Drosophila melanogaster: one gene and its partner. The protein of the gene in region 1 interacts with the protein of each later gene in a pairwise test. Each region holds a gene or a part of one and is shown in the gene's direction. Other genes may lie near its edges.

Region 1 (6,915 bases):
CTTAATCACGTTGGCTATCGGCTTGCTGACCTGCTTGATGGCCAAAATGCCGAGCTTGGCCGCCGGGAAGACGCCAATAACCATTGTTTTACTTTACTAATTTTTTACTAATAACTATTACAAAATATTCATGCAAAATTAGAGATGTGTTTTAGGTAGCGGTGTGCGCAGGGATGCACGATAGTGATGACAATTTGAAACTGGAAATATAACCGTAAATAATAGGCAACTTTCGATAGGACGAACTTGAAAATTACTCATTTATTTATTACATAATAAAATTATACAAAAATAAATCCTTATTTTTCAACGTTTTTTAGAGCTGCCTTAATCCAGTTGATTTCCCTTTGGTTCCGTTCCACATCTGCACTGATACAGTCCACGCACTCATCTAGAACTCTTTTTTGATCCTCAATTTCCTGGTTCTGTTTTTTGGTTTTTGTATATGTTCTATAAAAACAAATAATTGTATAGGAATACAAATTATTAAGACATTTGTAATAGTTCACACTTTGAAAGCTCATAGTATATGAGACCCGCGCCGATGCCAAACACAAAAGCCTCACTCAGCATATCAGCGCCCAATCTGGTGGCGACCGGAGTGGAGAGGGGTGGAATCCGCCTGGGCTGCTTTAATCGAAGCATACGAAGCTTGGAACGGACCTCAAAGGTGTTGTAGAGCTGGGCAGGCGGAATGATGATGTAGCGCCGTATAAAGGGATGATGCTTGCCCATCCAAATCAGAAGGTCTCCGAATGGCTTGCTAATCCGTTTCACGCCATGAATGAAAATTTTTCCAACTGGAAAACTACCAATCACCATTGTGCGTTACATAAAATTTAGCACGAATATACTGGCGACTGAGATTTCCAGGCCAATTCAGTTACATTCCAAATCCCCTGTATTGCAATATGCCGTATAGGTTTCCCTACTTCCCAGCTTGCTCCTCAGCTGATTGATTTCCTTGGTCTGGCGGGCGACCTTGTTGGTGAGGTTACCAATTCTTTCCTCCAGCTTCTCCCGATGCATCTTGTGTTTTTCGTGCTTCAACCTGTCATTCTTGGCTTGCCTAAAAGCATATTTGAAATAAGCCAAGATTTCTTCAAGATAATCGAGGCTTGCATACCTTTTGAACTCGCCTACAATCAGCGTGGCGCCAATAATGAAGATGACCATTTCGCCCAGGATATCACCGCCCATTTGGATAGTCATCGCGTCAGTGAGGGGCGGAATTAGACGAGGTTGTCCAAGTCCCAGCATCCACATCTTGGAGCGCACATCAATTACGTGGTATACTGAACATTATACTGGTTATGATGATAACTGGTGGGCATTCCACGGATTGTACTCACATCTCGCCGGAGGAGCAACAACCAGGGTTTTGAATGACTTATTCTTTTTGGCCGTTTGCTTGATCAGATTGCCAATGGGCTTGCTAATGTGCTTAATGGCAAGTAAAGCTAGTTTCGCCAGTGGAAAGACGCCCACAACCATTGTGCAATTTCTAAGTTTCGACAGAATTCCCTAAGTGCCCTACAACCGAAAATTTTCAAATTTCATATAATCAGTTTTTCAAATTATTTCTAAACTCAATTTCTGAGTCGCAATAACTTTAAGTCTGTGGATATCCAAACCCAGCAATTTAAAACATGTACTCTTTTTAAACTTCTTGTTCTTATTTAATAACTAACAGATTCTTGAAAGATGTTTAGACAGTTTAGTTTATGAATCGGTAATATTTGGCATATAAAACCCGGTCACACCTGTTACTAAAACGCTGGTTTTGTTTGTTATTAAATCTTTACCTCTGCATGCTTTAATATTCTTCCTAAAAAATAATGTCGGCACTTGGGGATTCTGATGATGAAACTGAGTTTAAAGAGATCAGCTCGACTAATTATCATCGTGTGCAGGAAAAGGTGGCAAAGGTAAGTTTAAAATGAATTTGGCGTGGCCAGCTTTCATGATGAAATCAGCTGGCTTTACATTGCCGAGTAAACACGACTTCTAAATACCCTTTCCCTATCAAGATAAGCTATGCAGATGGCGTTGCCGATGGCAGGGAAAAGGTCTTCCAAGAGAGCTTCGATGAAGGCTTTGAGAATGGCTTTAAAACTGGATTCGAACTGGCCAAACTGAGTGCCTTCTATGAAACCATAAGCAATGCGGCGGGAGCTGAAAGCTCCGAATGGAATGCAGAACGAGAAGCTTATCAAAAACTCCAACTGGCAGATGCAACAAATAAAGCACACTTCACATATTTGGAGCATCAAGGCGCTCCACTCAACGTTATATCCGAAAAACAAAAGACCTACGTGGACGACCTCCTAGGAAAACTGGCACAGCAACTCCCGGCAACTACGAATTTATTCACATCGGGGAGCGATTCTAGTGTTAATGTGGTTTAATGCATGTGTTTGGGAATTATCAAAATTAACTTGAAAGTATATCTTCGCGCGACTTATAAATAAAGACCCTCGGGCGTGCCCTCCTTCTTCCGGTACAAGACGCTCTCCTTTGACTTCTTGAAGTCCTCGTTGGTCACCTTCATGCGGCGTTCCCGCAGCGCCATCAAGCCAGCCTCTGTACAGATGGCCTTGATGTCGGCGCCGGATAGATCGTCCTTTGCCATGATCAGTTCGCTAAGGTTCACGTCCTCGGCCAGCGTCATGCGAGATGTGTGGATGGTAAAGATGCGGCGCTTGGTCTTCTCATCGGGCAGCGGGAACTCGATCTTGCGGTCAATACGACCGGGTCGAATGAGCGCCGGGTCAAGGGTCTCGATACGATTGGTGGCCATGATCACCTTGACATCGCCGCGCGAATCGAAACCATCCAACTGATTCAGTAACTCCAACATAGTACGCTGAATCTCCCGCTCGCCACCAGAATTTGAATCGTAGCGCTTTGTGCCCACTGCATCGATTTCGTCGATGAACACAATGGATGGAGCGTGCTCCTCAGCCACACGGAAGAGCTCACGAACTAGCTTGGGTCCGTCGCCCAGGTACTTCTGGATCAGCTCTGAGCCTACAACGCGCAGGAAAGTGGCCGAGGTCTGGTTGGCCACTGCCTTGGCTAGCAGGGTCTTGCCCGTACCAGGAGGCCCATATAGGATGACGCCCTTGGGTGGCTTGATTCCCATTTCCTCGTAGTACTCGGGATGGGTCAGTGGCAGCTCAACAGACTCCTTGATCTCCTGGATCTGAGTGTCTAAGCCACCGATATCTGCGTAAGTCTCTTGCGGAGCCTTTTCCAGTTTCATCACCGTGACCATTGGATCGGTGTCGTCGCTGAGAACTCCGACTACAGCGTGTACTTTGTGGTTGAGCAGCACGGAGCAGCCTGGTTCCAGCTGATCCTTGTCCACGAAGGACAGGATGCTAACATAGTGCTCGGAGCCCACCGATGTGGACACGATGGCGTGGTTGTCGTCGATGATCTCCTCCAGGTTGCCCACGGACATGGGGGTGCCGCGCAGATCGTCAACCTTAGAGCGCTCCTCCTCGTTCTTCTCGTCCTGGGGCTTCAGGCGCTCCTGGTTGCGGATGAACTCGTCCTCCATCATCAGGTAATCCTTGATGCGCTCCAGCTTGAGCAGCTTAAGGCGGCAGCGGGTGTGGGGCGTGACCTGGGGCAGCTTCATGGCCGCATCTGGACCCTTTGCGCGCCTCTTCTTCTTGCCAACGCGCGTTGGGATTGGAGGCTCGTACTTCTTCTTTTTATCCTTGTCATCTTTCTTTTCGCCAGCTCCCCCTTGAGCCGATTGGTTTTGTCCCTGCAAATGTATTGTTCCCGATCGTAAATGAGTTCAGGGTGTTCTGAAGGTGCTATTTTACCATTTTGTCTTGGTGCTTGCTGCTTTGCCGAACGTTTGATGAACTTTTTACTCTTTATTGTCGGCAACAAAATTACTAGTCATTCGCGTTAGCTGTGTTGCCGTACTATGGAAACATGAAGGTCTGGCAACTCTAAGGGTGAACAAATATTTTAAAAAAACGTGAAAATTAAAATAGGCAAGAAATGCTTAAGCAATCGGATTAAAACAATAGTAATGATTAACAACCAAAATATAAATGAATTCAAGACTTGAAAAAAGCAAATTTTAAAAGTCACTGTTTTATATACTTATCGATTACTGTAAACAAACTGAATGTTTCAGTCTGGCAACGTTTGCAATTAGTGCGAAAAGAGCATTTGTTTAAATTTGTTATATTGCGACCTTTTAATGGATCAAAATGTCAAGAATGTTGATCTTAAACTGGATAACATTGAGGTTCTGACCAGTGGGACAACAGCGGAGTTCGTGAATGGCATCCTGGACTTCTTGCTCTATCAACGCCGGCAAATCCCCTTCGTGTACAAAACATACAAATATTATGTGGATAAATGGTCAGATGCTGATGAATCGGGAGAATCCAAGGATCAGGAGTCCTTTGCTCATTACCAACGCAACCAGCAGCGCTCTAAGGCAAAGGCCACCAAGGAATCTATTAGTGACATGAGAGAGGTGAGGTTCCCCTTACATCCAGGACTTCTTTTGGTCTTTACTTGCCAGTTCTCTCCTACAGATCATCCGACAAGCCTTCAGGAGCTCTGAAGTGAAGAGCCTGCGATTTCTTTTTGGCAACAATATGTTCATGCCCTCGGAGGCCTATACTCTGCACATACCACATGATTCCATATCCAGAGATCACTATTGCGAGCACCATGCTCTGCCCGAAGGTCGCATCAACCAGGCGCTGCTCCGCCTGCTCACCTGCGAGGAGCTGTACAGGCTATTCTCCACCGAACTAAAAGTCACCAACGTGTTTCTAGAAATGGAGCTCCTTACAGACTCCGATCGACCCCAAGGATCCCATTGTGACTCCTTTAATCTAATCCCAAAGCATATATTAAGCCAACTTCCGCGCAGCTGCAAGAACATACACCTGCATCTACTGCATTGCAGTGAAAACACACCGAATGAATTACGCTGCTGCAAGGAGATGGATATTTACCACGATCTTGGCGTGCGGAATCTGGATAAATCTGGGGAAGACGTTAGCCAGACCAACGAAGAGCATGACGTTTTGAAAGCAGCAAATGAAACCAGCGGTTGGTGGCAGGCCGAGGTCATAGTTCGCGGTTTCAGAGCTCCTGGCAACCAAAAATCGGGAGATTTGTGGTCTAGCTAACATTTTATAACTTGGATTCTTGCTATTCGGCGTGTTTGTGTCAAAAATAAAGTTTCGAATCGTTTATATTTCAAGTATTAAGTTATTTTATTATGTATATAATTGTTTAATTTTATTTTTGGTTTCGATTTATTGAGAATGTTTTGAAAACCCAAGGCACTCAAAGATGATCCATCGTGGTATTGGTATTATCATCTTAGGTAGTGATAATCATGGAAACTGGTGCACTGCGCTCTCGCTGCTTGGCCACAATCTTGTTGGCTATGCGATCCAAGTTACGTTGTCCTTGCGGAGTCAGCTTACGACCACCATCCGGGTGCCTCTCCACCATGTTAGCAGCTTCCAAGGCTTGAAGAGCCTGCTCATGTGTTAGATACATGCTAAGTAATATTAAATATAACCTTAAAGTACAACCATTTCCCACTCACCTTGCGAATACAGCCATCCGATGAGCGACAGTGCTTGGACGGACGAACACCGTTGCGCTTGCGCCCGCTATAGACCTTGGTGAAGGCCCCAACGCCGGCGGGACTGCGCAGGTACAGGTGTCTCATAATAGAGGCGCAGCGAGTGTAGAACCAGTCGTCGTCGGTAGGAGCAGTCTCCTTGAACTTGCCAGTCTTCATATAGACGGCCTGTTCGGGCACAAAAATTTTTCCGGATTTTTTGAGAAAAGCAGCCATGTTTTTGGTCAGAACGTGCTGATCGATTTCCTTTACTGTGACTCCAGGCATGTTGCTCTCTACGTTCTTGAAAGCACGTTTTTAAGGCTCATGGGTCCGATATATGTATGTATGTATTTAAAAAAGTCTTACCTTTTGAGAAGAAAAAGGTTTGCTTCCGGTTAGTTTGCTGACTTTAGTCAAAATGGACGATTGGCAAGTGACGTTTGAAAGAGGGACCAGGTCATTGACCCCAAAGGATTACTTTCCGATAGTTTTGTCGTGCAGTATTGGTGAACTTGGCAATTCTTTTCGAAAACTTAACCTATAAACTTGGAAAGGAACGCAATGTAGCAAAACTACTGTTCTTGGTGACAGGGGGTTTAAGGTAGACTAACAAGGACAATTTTATGACACTGAAGCCCTATGGAGTAAGAATCAAAGAACTGCTGTATTTTGGTTTGTATAAATGAATAAAACGTTCTACGCTAATTGAAGAGCATTCGAAGAGGTTTGAATACAGCGCCATAGGGTGACCAGCTTGTGGAGCATTGAAGGTATTTCTTGTTTTAAGAATGATCACGGGATGGTCACACTAGAAATACAGCCAAACAAAACAACAAAAAGCATTTCGAGCGCTAACAAATATATATCTTTCGACTTGACTCATTCGCATTCCGGTTGACCGTGTCGCGCCTGCAGCATGTCTGAAAAGCCGACTGTTCTGATTTTGGGTGGTAAGTGGTCCCGCTGCATCCTCCTCATCGTCATCCTGCCCCCGCTCCCCACTCCACACTTCCGCTTATCAGCATCGCTGACTGCATCGCTGCTCTTCCTCTTCCCGCAGGCTGCGGCTTCATTGGACGCAACTTGGCCACTTATCTGCTGGACAATGAACTGGCGCAGGAAATACGACTGGCCGATAAGACCCCTCCGCAGATGGCATGGCTAAACGAGGAGCAGACGCGGGTCTTCGAGAGCGATCGGGTGGAGTTCTGCAGCGCGAACCTAATAAACGCCGGTAGGTAATCACTACATTAGGGTGGCTCGTTCCACCAGGATGCGGATCACAACTC
Region 2 (6,609 bases), on another chromosome or scaffold:
TTTCGTTATTTATTGTGCAAGACGAAAGACAAACAAAAGTCAATGCTTTTGTTCAGGTCGCCGACAATACAGGCAGAGATTCTTTAATTAATTCGGATTGTCCGCTCACGAATTTCAAATGACTTTGACCCAATTTAATTTGTAATTTGTATGATATGTGCAAATACGAAATGAAAACGAAGAAATCAACAACAGGTTATTCAAAAAACTGCGAATAAGAAGTGCCCAAAGATATGCTGGGAATTTGTGAAGCATACTTTTGAACACCTCTTTAAATATGTATCTTATGTTTTTAACTAACATTTTATTGTTTGAACAACATAATCACTTAACTTACTAATTTATGCAACTTGGTGATTAAAATGCATAGCATACACTTGATTTATGGCATTTTTGTGAAACACATTTTCCTTTTTAATTGTTAGCATTCCATTAACTTAAGTCATCTATCTGCAAATGTGCCAGCCTTGTAGTGCTTGTAGTGCCAATTTCTATGCTGAATGCAATCAATTTTAAATATAAAGACCAAATGCAGAAACAACAGCATCTGGCTAATCAATGAGGTCACACAGGTTGCACATCGCACATCGCACATTGCACATTGCACATTGCACTTTCCACTCGTTGCGAAAATTTTACAAATTTAATTGCCTTTGTCGATGGAACGCAGCCGTATGGGAAATGCATTTGGGACGACGAGTGCCGCATTTCCGGGAACAAAAATAGAAATAGAAATAGAAATATAAATATAGATAGAGATAGAAACGAAAATGGGTTGTCAAGCTAAAACAATAGGATATTTGTGCAATTTATTTGCACTATTATTATTTCGCACAAAACAGTGCCACACGATGGCAGTGACATGTCTGTTTTGGATTGCATGTACATATGTATTGTATTGTATATATACTCCAAAAAGTCCAGTATTTAAATTGCCCACATGGGGTCATCCGAATCCGTTTGGTTAGACAAACCAATTCAATTTCCCTAATCCTTGTTCAGCTTTTTGGCAAATATGTACATATGTGCATATCGAATTGTTATTAGATTGCCAGTTAGTTTTGAATGTTAGTTTCTTTCTTAAATTGTAGCCAATAATAGCCAATAATTCGACGGGTTTACTACTAGTTTTAGTTAATATTCTTGATTTATTTTAATGTAGTTAATAAATGGTAAATGAACATAGAAAAACATAGAAGGCGCGTATAGAACGATGTTGAAGGACGTCGAAAGTACTGAAAGAACGTAGAAGAATGTAGAAATTATGTAGAGAAACGTAGAGCAACTTAAACGGATGTATAAAATGTGTAGGACTTTGGTGAATCTCAATGAATGTGAAATTTAGTCAAAGACCTAGACGCTTCACTTGAATATATATATAAATGCTAATTAGTATATAAATGTGTATATATAAATGTAACCATTTCGTAATATCTTGACCGTTTAGACGGAAGGACAAAAGGACAATACGACGGTTACGAACAAACATGGCTAGACAGTAAAATCTGATGGGCAGGCCATGAAAAAGTGCCGAAAAATTTTCAAATCATGTAGGCCATGAAATGAATTTTCATTTGTGTCATAACTTTAGACTGGACAAAACCTTAGTCCAATGTGAGCATTTGATATGTGAACATAACACACAAATAATATATACCCCGATTGTTAAACAATTTGTACATACAATTTCGTAAAAACAAAGCAACAGAACTACACATTTCCAATATACATTTTCAAAATATTTTGGTAAAACGAAAAGGTCAACTTTGTATTCACTTTGGCTTACGCGCGCTGCATGATATTTTACATTTTTCCAAAATTTTCCAAAAGCAACTTTCTTGCGAAAAAACTAATCGAACAAGGCAAACCATACGTGCTCCTGTACAACTTTCTTTGGGTAAGTGATTGTTGAATGACCAAGTAAGACATCGCTAATGTATTTTTAAGTAGCTTGTAGACACATAGAGAATTCGCTTGCGATGGCTACTTCGAGGGCCCACAATGTGACCGTCACGCATAATTCGTTGGTTCAGTGGTCCCGTGGCGATATTCTCGATTGGTTCAACGAGACGCTCCAATGCAACCTAATCAATATCGAACAGTTGTGCACCGGTGCAGCCTATTGTAATTTGATGCATATGCTTTATCCCAAACTGATCAATTTGAAGCGAGTTAAGTTTTTTTCGAATCAAGAATACGAGTACGTTAACAATTTCAAGGAACTTCAAAAAGCCTTCAATAAGGTAAATGTAAGCCTACCAGCTGAGGTCAATGATTTGATCAAGGGCCACAGGGTAGAAAATTTTAAATTTGCCGTGTGGTTCCGACACTTTTTCAATGTCAATCACACTAAGGATAAATGCGCTGGCTACGATGCACTGGTAGCTCGTGACCATCAGAACATCGGTATCGGATCCTCAAAATTGACAACCAAAGATCGTTTTCGCTTGGTGAAGGTGAAGACGACAGCTATACGAGGTAAAGTTGCGACTTGCCAGGCGACGATTAACAGTAGCCTTTGCACGGGCAAAGCTAACCAGGACGAGGATAGCCAGCACACGGATAAAAAGGACGAGGATAGCCGTGACCAGGGTAGCCAGTACGAGGATAGCCCCGGCATGGATAGCCAGTACAAGGATTGCCGTGACCAGGATAGCCAGTACGAGGATAGCCACGGCAAGGATAGCCAGTACAAGGATTGCCGTGACCAGGGTAGCCAGTACGAGGATAGCCACGGCATGGATAGCCAGTACGAGGATAGCCGTGACCAGGATAGCCAGTACGAGGATAGCCCCGGCATGGATAGCCAGTACAAGGATAGCCGTGACCAGGATAGCCAGTACGAGGATAGCCACGGCAAGGATAGCCAGTACAAGGATTGCCGTGACCAGGGTAGCCAGTACGAGGATAGCCACGGCATGGATAGCCAGTACAAGGATAGCCGTGACCAGGGTTGCCAGTACGAGGATAGCCACGGCAAGGATAGCGAAGACGAGGATAGCCAGTACGAGGATAGCCAGGACATTCACATGGTGCTCCAAAGAGACCACTGATATCGTGACGTCGTCGGTTTTTAATTCCTGGCCAAGCTCATTGTCAACTCAAAACTCTCAAAAGAACTAGTCAAAGCACACGGTAGCCTCGAAGGAGTAAGGATGTGAAGACGAAGGCTGCCTGCTTTTCAAAATTAACAGTTTTGAACTCTTTAAACCAAATTCACATTTTCTCCACTGCTTTTGTATTTCATGGTTTGGAAATTGAAAATTAAAATGTTGACCCAAAACATGCGTCTTATTTAATGGTTCCCTTAATGTCCGCTAGGTGGAGTCAATGCTTTTCACACAGGTTTTATATTAAATAATAATACTAAATAATAATAATAATATTAAAAATATTAACGCTACGAGTGTTAGAACTAGTATTTTATTTAACTAACGACGAACTAAATTAAATAATATACTAATTCTAAATAATGGTTCTGATGCCAGCTAAATAACTTAAAACCTACGTATGTATGTACATATATCACGCAAAGCTTTGGTCGGAAAAGCTCCTGCTCCATATGACATTGGCAGTATCAAAAGTCGGTAGATATAATATAAAAAACGGGTAATCGCATCGTTCCCCCCCAGTTGTTTGCCAAGCGTGAACGCAGGCGGAGATTAGTGAACGGAAGATGGCACTCAAGTTTGCAGCGAATCTGAACTTTTTGTTCACGGAAAGAGCGACGTCGATCGCGGAGCGAATTCGTCTGGCCCACCAGAACGGATTCCGTGCGGTAGAGATCCCCTATCCCGAAGGCGAGACGAGCGACGTGGTGTCCGCCGTAAAGGAGACGGGTGTGGTGGTCAGTCTGGTGAATCTGGCCTTCGACAAGAGCGACGATCAGCTGCGTTTCGGCTCCACCAGTGTGCCCGGCTCGGAAAAGCTGTTCCGTAGCCAATTGGATGCCACCATTGATTTCGCCCGACAGGTTAACTGTGGCAAGATTCATCTAACCGCTGGACTCTTCAAGGGCGGCCAGGAGAGTGACTACACGAAGACGTATACCGCCAATCTAAAGATCGCCGCCGATAGCCTTAGAGCCAGTAAAATGATCGGCGTGATAGAGCCAATTAACAAGTACGCCGTGCCTGGCTACTACATGAATTCATACTCCAAAGCCGCTGGAATTCTGGCCGATGTGGCTGCGGACAACATTCAATTGCTGGCCGATCTGTATCACCTGCAGCATTTGCACGGCAACGTTTCCAAGACGCTCGAGGAGTACAAGGCGCTGATTGGACACTTTCAGATCGCCCAGGTGCCGCATCGCCACGAGCCGGATGTTTCCGGTGAGCTGGACTACGGATTTGTGTTCAAGGCTCTCCAGGAATTCGGCTATGATGGATGGATCGGTTGCGAGTACAAGCCGAAGACGACCACTGTCGAGGGTTTGGGTTGGGTCTCCAAATTGGGCTACACGCTATAATTATCACATCACATATAGTTTGGCATAAGGAACTGCTCTGCATTTATACACATGTATTTACACTGCTTACAAACATAAAGATGGTTTAACCAAAATACTTAATTCTATTACATATTTCTCTCGTTTTCGAGGCATTTTCATGGCTTTTTAAAGCTTCAATTGGTTGGTTCAATTCAATCAATTGGTTGGTTTTGGTTTAAAATGGTCGTTTTATAAAATCGATTACAATATAAAATCCTTTTTTTTCCCTTTTTTTTTGGAATTGTCATGCGTCTGTCAAAAGGTCATGGAATTGACCTACAGCAAGTGTGGAATAAAACAGTAGCTACGATTAGATAAGATTAGATAACAGGCAGATTCACGTATCTCATAAGGCGTCACTCTCGCTCCGAATCACCCGCTTGGCATATTCGGCTATGTGGAGCACCCCGTGCTCCGGTGAGGCGATGTGCAGGTTGCCTCCATTGCAGAATTTCGTGTTTATGTACGGATTGTGCAGCTCGGCCACCAACGTGGAGCAGGCCGTCGAGGAGTCACCTGTGGACTGCAGCATTTTCTAAAACGAATGAAGTTTATAATATGTGAAATTAGAAAGAAGAAAATGTTAAGATCAAAGGAAGAACTACAACTACTTTAATGTCAAGTTACTTTCCATTGGTTTAATGATCACTAAATTGAATTATCTTTATAATTGCACTTAACACAATTATAAACACTTACTAAGCTGATAATGCATGCCCTCATTAAATTGATAATGTTCTTATTATTTAATATAAAGGGCATTAGTGGAAAACTAGAACACACAGTTGGCCAAACCACAGAATATAAATATATTGTTTCACCACTTAATATCAACATTTGTGGCTAGGAGGGCACTGTCAATCTATGTACTTACCATCCAGAATTCATTACCCGGCAGGGCGTTTCCATCCCAAGCGTAAGAGACTACCAGCAGCATTCCGGCGTGCTCAGGATCACTCAATTTTCGTGCTGGATTGCGCTTGGAAATGAGCACCCTGATGCCATCCTTTGGATGCCCGGGAATCTCTATCAGCGATCCGTTGCTTAGACCGCCGCAATGTGTGATCGAAAACCAGGAGAAGTGCACGAGGCCAACGTTATTGAGCCTGTTGCCCAGCGTGCGCATACGCTGCTCGAAGGTCTCCATGAAGATGCGCTCCTGCTGTTCTGCTGCCTTCCACACGCCCAAGCCGAAGCCCACCACATGGATGTACGCCAGCTTTTTCACGCGTTTTGCCCTTGCCTCTGCCTCCAGCAGCAGCATGTCGAAGCTGATGGCGTAACGCCGCTTCATCACCAGATTGTCGAACACGTCCATCTTGTTTTTCGATGGTCCGAAACGCTGATTGTCAATGACTGCCTGGCCGTGGATGAGATCCCGTGTGGCATAGAACTCGCGCCACAGTCGTCGATAGTCCTCATCACGCGTGGTAGCCGGCTCATCCAATGCCATTCCGTAGCCCCTTTCACGCGTATTCTGCTGACGTGCGATTACAATGTCCTGGAACTCCATTAGATTACGTCGCGACAGACGGGCTCCAATCATGCCCACAATAACCCCGTGACGTTCCAAAGTTTTCGTGTTCAGATCAACGTGACCGCAATTGGTTCGTTCGCCCTCATTGACAAACTCCGTGCGGGAGCTCACGGAAAGCAGAGCGGAGAGCTTGATATCGTCATAGCTGAGCACGTTGGCCAGCACCAGAGGCGCCTTCTCCTCCCGAGTACCCACGGCTTCGAAGCCACTGGCCCCGGACTCTCCGCTCACCAGCAGGTACTTGTCGTTCCGCGCAAAGAAGCTGGCGCAACGCTTTACCAGCAGACGTTGCACAAATCCGCATAGCGATAAATTCCGGTAGATGGGCTTTTCCACCGCGTTGCCTGTGGTGAAATGCGGCAAGTCGATCAGTTGAGAAGGCTATTTAGGCAAGAGAATTGCTTACCCCAACGACACTTGTGCTCCAAGTACTGCAAGTAGAGGCCCAATGTACGTTCGTGTATCAATGGATAGGCGGATGCCACTTCCTCATTTATCCGGGCAAGCCGCGATGGAGATTGCCGGTATACTTTGACACTGTTCACGCCGAACTACAAGAAGAAGAAAGTGGAAGGGTAAG

What was found.
Region 2: the proteins of CG13599 (region 1) and Gip interact in a two-hybrid assay, tested with the Drosophila melanogaster proteins (one large-scale study listed by BioGRID).

The regions. Positions count from the first base shown.
Region 1 is NT_033777.3:23,927,485-23,934,399, forward strand, and holds CG13599 (uncharacterized protein), read left to right. Parts: upstream 1-4,154; 5' UTR 4,155-4,228; coding exon 4,229-4,510; intron 4,511-4,571; coding exon 4,572-5,177; 3' UTR 5,178-5,244; downstream 5,245-6,915. Other genes in the region: CG13601 (uncharacterized protein), read right to left, coding at 1-84; CG43998 (uncharacterized protein), read right to left, coding at 300-450, 512-822; CG43999 (uncharacterized protein), read right to left, coding at 880-1,069, 1,127-1,295, 1,353-1,494; CG31142 (uncharacterized protein), read left to right, coding at 1,839-1,928, 2,031-2,408; Rpt2 (regulatory particle triple-A ATPase 2), read right to left, coding at 2,462-3,778, 3,840-3,842; RpS19b (ribosomal protein S19b), read right to left, coding at 5,374-5,535, 5,606-5,911; CG5854 (uncharacterized protein), read left to right, coding at 6,543-6,576, 6,687-6,860.
Region 2 is NC_004354.4:10,326,830-10,333,438, reverse strand, and holds Gip (GIP-like), read left to right. Parts: upstream 1-3,566; 5' UTR 3,567-3,676; coding exon 3,677-4,471; 3' UTR 4,472-4,562; downstream 4,563-6,609. Other genes in the region: CG15306 (uncharacterized protein), read left to right, coding at 1,980-3,053; CG2909 (uncharacterized protein), read right to left, coding at 4,839-5,027, 5,367-6,373, 6,436-6,580. UniProt on the Drosophila melanogaster protein: Catalyzes the reversible isomerization between hydroxypyruvate and 2-hydroxy-3-oxopropanoate (also termed tartronate semialdehyde).